Caenorhabditis elegans: one gene and its partner. The protein of the gene in region 1 purifies or fractionates together with the protein of each later gene. This does not show direct contact. Each region holds a gene or a part of one and is shown on either strand. Other genes may lie near its edges.

Region 1 (3,755 bases):
AAAAAATTGCTCACCTTTTCCGGTAGTCCAATTCGATGAAATCGTCTTCCAATATTTGGATATCTTGATTGAATTCTCTCCTTCGTCCGTGCTTTCGCCCGGTCAATACGGTCATAGTAGAAAGTTGGAGCCGCCAGTTCAACCACCCCGGTTGGTGGTACGATTCCCAGCTTGAGCTTCTCATCCACAAGTGAAGCTCCAACTTCTGACAGGTATCCCTGCAAAAAGTAATCAGTTAGTCTTGGCTATCAAATTGTAAACATTTATGTATATCATGCATTCTATATGCTTCGGGATTTGTATGTACTTGACACCCCTCTTCCAAGTCCGCCTGTATAACCATATAACCAGCCAAATCGACACATCTACGGCAGGAAAATGGACGACGACTACACATAATTATTTCAGTAGTACGCTAAGCACTCATGCGCCAACACTACCAACAACCTAGGCCCTCCAACAACAGCAGCGCATCATCGAGTTGAATATTATTTCATCGTCCTTCTTTCCCCCGCGATGTGTTGTTCTTTCAAAGTCCATTGACCCGAAAAACCGGTAACGGCAACATACATACACATACACTTATGCCAAAGGGAATCATTACACTTCGCAAATCATTCAGTTTGTAATCCAAGAAGATCTGCGGATTTTTCGTTGTTTTGAGTAATACGTTTGAGTCATTTTCACATCAGAATGGGATAAATGTGCATCGTTACAAAATTCTTGCCACATTTTCTTCGTCGCAATTTTTGCTCTTCGACCGACTTAATTTCTAATTCGCATTCTTTGACAACCTTATTTTCGTCTCCCTTATGTGCACGTTTTCAACAACATTTTGCTCTACTAGAGAGCCTTTTTTCCCTTCATCGACACCAATTTCAATTGGCTGCCATTTCGAGAGCAGAGAAAAGTCATTGACTATGTTGTTTTCTGAGAATCGAAAATGAGTGTCGTGAAAAAATACGATGAGTGGCGGCGGTCAGCGCGGCGCAAAGGAAACCGGCGGCTCACAATTGCTTCGGACCAAGAGAGTAGCAATTATAGGAGTGAGCGAAACATTGGCAACACTGAGCGAGAGAGCAATTCTATTAAAGTCAATGGGCGAATCGGGGTGCGAACCAGCAGCACCTTTCCTAGAATAGCAACCAGAGCCAGTATTCTCTCGTCTCCTTCAATTCTTTTAGGTTTGTTCGATTTGAAAAATGCCACGAAAAATTGTTTGTTTTTGAAGACCAGATGTAATTTGGGATAAACTTTTTGTCTTAAAGGTGGATTGGCTTCAGTGGTTTAAAGCTGCTCATGTGGTGCCAAAATGCCAAAATATCATTGTAAAATAACAACATATTTCTTCTAATTTTCTACTCTAATTGGACTTTAATTATTTGTGTTTAAACATTCTAGCATACCGTAGAAACTGATTTTTTATTCAATTTGGAACTTTGCCTAAAACGTTGAAAAGGTGTTTTATTATGATATCTGATTTGTTTGAATGATTATAAAAAATTTAGATAAAATCCCCACTGACGCTATTCCACCTTTGAGGTCCTTTCAGTTGCAGTCTTCCCGTTTTTTCCAACTTTTGAAAACAATTTCCAAAACGGGCATAAAACCCCTGCAACGCCAAATCCCCGGGAAAATCTTGACAATGGTCGTTTTTTGGTGCGTGTATGTGGTCCGTGTCACTTTTTTGGACATGATGCCAGCCGGGCAAAGGACGACATGCCCATCAAACTTTCAAGCCAGTTGTCCTCCTTTTTTAGTGTGTGTCGGCTATCCTTTTTTGCAATTCTCGCCACACACACACACACACACACACCATCCAACAACAACTCTTTGAACCAAAGCAACAAACATTCTCTCCAGAAATCAATAGTGACAGGGTGCACATACACGCGCCAACCGGCGAACTCCTTTTTTGTCTTCTGGTCGCGCAAGCTTGACAAAGACATAGAATCAGCAGCGGCGGAACAACGAAAAAAGACACGTGAACGATTGAAGCAGACGAGAAGAGAAGAAGAAGAACGGCATCTGTTTAACGAGGGTAGAAACTTTCTCTTCATTGTGCTCGCAGCTCAGCCAATCACCTGCCCTTTCTATTCTTTTCTAAAACACAAATCCGGTAAGGTTTTCCTAAAATTGATTCATGGTCCCCCCAATGAATTGACATATGCATATATATCATCCAGCTTGGCAGCAGCTTATTTTCCTAACGTGAAGGTCGGCACATTTTCTCTCCCTCTTTCATTTTCTCGTTCAACGCTAGAAATAAATCGAAAGAGAATTTGAGTTCCATGTTTTAGGCGACATTCGGTCCCCTGTGAGTAGGAAAAAACATAATATGTGTTGTTTCGGCAATTTTCTTGTTCAAATGTTAGTGGGTGGAGAAGTAGATAAGGGTATTTCCATCACCTTATCAACAAAAAGCTTGTTGCGGAATCAAAGGGGGTTAAAATAACAGTTCGCCTTACTATCGCGATGTTTTTTGTTTCGAAATTCAAAAAGTGTGAAGTGAGTGTAGAGGATTATGTGTGAGACCGTCTTTCAAAACTAATGTTGTTTCCTCAAAATTTATACTTTTTTAGGGAATTAAATCTAGGAAAAAGTATACGATGTTCGTATAAGTACTCAGTCAAGCTCTACTTCCAAACAACTTCCCACTACTCATCCACCATTCTTACGCAACTTTTCAAAAAGATAGCAGCCATCATTAGGCAGTTTCCCAGAATTGAAGTGAGAAAGAGAGAGAGAGAGAGAGAGAGAGAGAGAGAGAGAGAGAGAGAGAGAGAGAGAGAGCACGGCTCAACCGCGGTCTTGTCCTTGCTGGAGCACAACGATCGGCCAACGTCGTCTTCTTCCCCTCTTCCGTATTTCGTTCTGGTCGTTTGTTGTTGTCGACAACAACACAGAGAGGGCGCCCTCCCAGATCGATGGCTCAAGCCACCAGAGTACGCGCGCCCCACTCCAAAGAAGGCGTGGCCCGTGGCGATGGGCAATGTTGATGTCGTCGTCGTCGTGCTCCACTCGCTCTTCTCCATCTCTCTGGCTCACACTCTGTTTACTTGTTTACCTCTTGCCTAGAAAGGGGAATGAAAAAAAAAGAGCAGGCCATCCGCGCGAGCCCGCTCAGCAAAAAAGTCGCAATTGTCCACCCTTCCTTCTCTTTTTTTTCCTCTTCGAAATCGGTGGAAAACTCCAAGGAAGCTCTTGTTTAAGTCATATTTACTATACTTGGTAAATAGGAAATGCAATAGTCACTAGTCACTGGAGCAATAAAATAATGTGTGCTCAATATTTTTCGAAAAACAAAAACAATTGAAGAATTTGTGTTCTCGATTGTTTTCGACACTGCCTTTTCCTCTACTAAAAATTCCTAGTAGCTAAATTTTCAACTTCAAAATTCACATGACTAGTGTACATACCTTTACTCTATTGGACTCTTCCCCCGGTTGCTATGCGACAAATAACGATTCCAGCTTACCCGCGCGCCCTCTCTCTCTCCTGCTCAATCTTCCCGCCTCATTTTTATATGTACATGTATATATTTGTCAAAAATTGGATGGGAGGGGGGGCGAACAAATGAAACATGCAAACAAAATACGTGTTTACAAGACCTCCGACCTACCGAATGCTCACACTCTTCACGACTTTCTTTTTTGAAATTCGATCTACTCAAAACATCCAGAGCGCGCATCTTTTCTCGCTTTCTAGCTCTCTCTGGCAACATGCCCTCCTCGTACACTAAGTCAAAGAAGATT
Region 2 (3,755 bases), on another chromosome or scaffold:
TCGAGACCCTTTGTTGATCTCATCAAAAACTGGAATAAAGTTATCGTGTTGTTGGTTCCACTCTTCAATCATATCAAATCTGAATTCATTTAATCTTTTTTAGAAGCATATAAATAGTTACCGGAAGTCATCACCATGCATCATAAGAATCACCGGCGCCTTGTACATTTCGGACATTTTTTCAAGTTGGTTGACGAGTTTTTCAGCCCTGAAATAAGGTTTGTGTTACGTATCCTCTATTATACATACCGTATTTTCCCTATTTGCACTAAAAATTAACGATCGAAAAGCGTACTTGCAGCTGAATACTTACTTTGCAGCCACATTAGCATTCGTAATTTTTTCAGGCTTCGGCCCAGGACACGACCAATGTGTCATTCTCTTAAAATCAAATTCACAGCAGACCGAAGCATCGGAACCACACGAATTGAGAATGTCATAATGTGTATATGGTAGGATTTGGGTTAATACGTCATCTTCTCCAGTTGCATCAAAATATTGCCGCCATTTGAATGGAATTGCCTTTTGACTTTGCAATGTTTGCTTCAACTTGTGATGAATTCGGTTTATTACAGTTCTATGAACGCCTGAAGTAAAAAACAATTATCAGTAAATTTATAGATGTTCAAACCTGATTTTTTGAATAAATATGGAACGGAATTCGAGTACCCAAATGGATCATTTGACCACATTGTTTGGGGTTTGATACCTGAAAAATAGAAATTTGGAAGTTTAAGAATCCGGAGGATCATATGGTATACCAAAATTCTTATGGATGAATTGAAATCCTTCAACAATATTATCGACGGAAACTGGGAAATACGGATTTGCTTCATCCGTCATAACCCATGAGCCTGTTGCCAGTTCAAGACGACCTTCCGTAACTAATCTGAAATTTTCGGAATTTTTGGAAGTTAAACTCGCTCGATGTCTACAAGGTAGATTTACATATTTACATTATCTGATTCCAATCAATAATGTTAGTTTTTAAAAAGTTTCAATTTTTGTAGTAGGCACGAACTTACTTCTTGACGTCTTCCTTAACTTGCTCGTTTTGCAACGACCACCATCGTTCAAAAAACACAAATTCCGCCCACATAAATCTCATTTTCTCATTTTTCATCATAAACTGATGCATATTGTCCAAAATTTGATTCGTACTTTTTGTATATCTTTCGAATGTTTCGAGCCATCCTGGTTGCAAAATTAATCATAATTTAATAATTATCAACAAAAAAACCTACCAGGATCTACATGTGTAAATGGAAGCACATAAACTTTCAACTTCTCAGTTCTTGATTTCTTTGAAGCCGGTGGAAGTGTATTTCCTTTGGCAACAACTGACTCAAATAGGTCAAAAGTCTGTAAAAATTAAAAAGTAGTTTTTTCGATAATTTTTCTGATACTCACATTAAAATTGGTAGAAGACTCTGTGAGTGGTCGTTGGCAGACTTCATTTTTTGGTTCGAAAATATTTGGATTCTTTTGACTGTTTGATAGATTATTGGCTTCTTTTACAAAAGATCGCATGTTGACAACTCGTGAAATGTGAAGCTCATTATTATGCTGAAACAAAATATATTACAGATTCTTGCTCATTTGAAAAATTGTTCACAAACCTGTCCTAATCTTTGATGATATGCCAATAAAAATGTGAAGAGAATAGCAAAAAAATAAATAGAAACAGTTTTCGGATTGAGTAGTACTTTCCGTTTGGCTGATAACGCAAGTCGGTGCATTTTTTGTATGCTGAAAAAAAAACCAATATAGTTCTAGAAAGAATATAGTTGTTTTGAAAAGAGAAAGCATTCCACAAATTATGTGGGAAATTTAATAGGATTGAAATACAAAAGGAGGTAGCGTTTGGTTTGAACAGCTGAAATGGGGAAAAGGAGGTGAAAAAGTGTGTGCATTGAAGAGGACACATAAAATTATAGGATATGGTTGTTTTAGGAACATTTTATGAGTAGTAAAAGAATGCCAACTCACGGGCGGTTTTAACGCAGAAATAGCTGCTGCAAAAAAATCTCCATGGGATTGAACGTGAATTTATTTTTGCCCAATTTTTGTTCTCGTTTTTTATGTTTAAAAACTTTTTTTAGTTTTAGCAAACTATATATTTTTTTAAGTTATAAGAATTTTATATTCAAATTGTAATCAGTTGATATCAGTTTTGGCAATTTGATTTTTGACAATTTTAACCGAGTTTATCACAAATAGTTCAATTTTTAAGCTCAAAATTACTAAATTATGCCAAGTTTAATTTTTTAATTTTCAAAATTAAGTTACGTTTGAAAATAGTTATAAAAATAGAAAAAATAGAAAATAGAAAATAGTAGAAAATAGAATTAAAAAATACCAATAAAAGGAATTTGTTCAGTTTTGCAGTTGATAAAATATTGAGAAAAAAAACTTGCAGCGGATTTTGATGAGAAAAATGGTTCAGGAATAATTTTCAAAATAATTTGAAATATTTCTTTGGAGTTTTTGACCATCGGATTCAAGTTCTCTCCAAGTTTGGGCAAATCGGAGTCATCTGAAGTGAAAATCCCGAAAAATCAAATTTTGCTATGAAAAAAAAGCAAACCAGCTTCCCAAAATAAAACGAATATACAAAGCACACCAAAAAGTTTCGTGGCACACAGATTTTTATGAAATGTAAAATTCCGATAATGCTTTCATACAGTGATGCATTTTATTGGAAATATAATAGATGGAAACGAATGGAGAGAAGAGAAATATACACTCACATTGCCTTTGAATTTTTAGCTGTGAAAGCGAGACGGTTCGTCATTTTTTGTGAACTTTTTAAATATGATATATGGTGGATTATTGGTTTTGGAAGTTTTTTTGTAAGTTAATTTGTTAAAGTTTATATAACACAAATTAATTATGGAAATATTATAATCAATTCCTCGTTTTTAATCAGCGACAAAATTAATAAATATTTTTTTAATAGAAGATATTTTGCAAAATGTTTCAATCAATTACATAGAAGTAGCACAAATCAAAAATTCATGAATTTTTCCTTTCAATTTGAAAGAACGCCGGAAGCAAAAAAACCAAAGGGGTCGGTAATTTTTCTGAATACCCAAATAGAGAATAACTTAAAATTTAATACACTTTTGTTAGCAGAAAGTTTTGAAAGGTGGTGTAGACGAAATTGAGGCTATGTTTTAAAACATGATATATGTTTTGACAAAAAAAAATGTATAAGCGAAACACAAGCGGACGTATGTAGCTTCGAAATGTCGAACAAAATCACTGTTACCAATTTTAGTGGATTTTTCTAATGATTGTCACTGAATATTTAAAATAAATACGTTTCTAATAATCTGACAACTAAATGCCATCCTAATCGCTCCAAAAATTTTTAGATTTTCAAAAAAAAATTTGCCAGTTTTAGTAAATTGGCAAATCTACCAAACATGTATCAATGTTCCATCTTACAACTTTTAAAAAGAATATTAAATACTGTACTTAGAAAACAATTTTTTCGGCATGTACTCATTTGAATCTCATCAACACATTCATGAGTTTTTTCAACAAAAATTTTAAAAAATCAACTTTTAGTAATATTAACAATATAAATTTTATTTTGTGAATAAGACAAATATATAGAGAAACAATTAAATGCGAATAACTAATTACGGGATTTACGATTTGAACTAGCACTTTTGTTCTTATTTGACCTGGTTGCTACAAGCCAAAAAAACGGGGAAATTGGAAAACACGATGCACAGAGAAAAAAGGGA

Evidence for each region.
Region 2: the proteins of lfi-1 (region 1) and aman-3 fractionate together in Caenorhabditis elegans (co-fractionation; one large-scale study listed by BioGRID). This does not show direct contact.

What each region holds. Positions count from the first base shown.
Region 1 is NC_003284.9:4,979,377-4,983,131, forward strand, and holds the start of lfi-1 (Rootletin-like coiled-coil domain-containing protein), read left to right. Parts: upstream 1-1,863; 5' UTR 1,864-2,119; intron 2,120-3,755. Other genes in the region: ZC8.6 (Phosphatidylinositol 4-kinase type 2), read right to left, coding at 15-218.
Region 2 is NC_003279.8:5,323,550-5,327,304, reverse strand, and holds the start of aman-3 (Alpha-mannosidase), read right to left. Parts: upstream 1,750-3,755; 5' UTR 1,740-1,749; coding exon 1,620-1,739; intron 1,567-1,619; coding exon 1,411-1,566; intron 1,363-1,410; coding exon 1,245-1,362; intron 1,195-1,244; coding exon 1,026-1,194; intron 890-1,025; coding exon 762-889; intron 710-761; coding exon 632-709; intron 588-631; coding exon 314-587; intron 209-313; coding exon 122-208; intron 80-121; coding exon 1-79.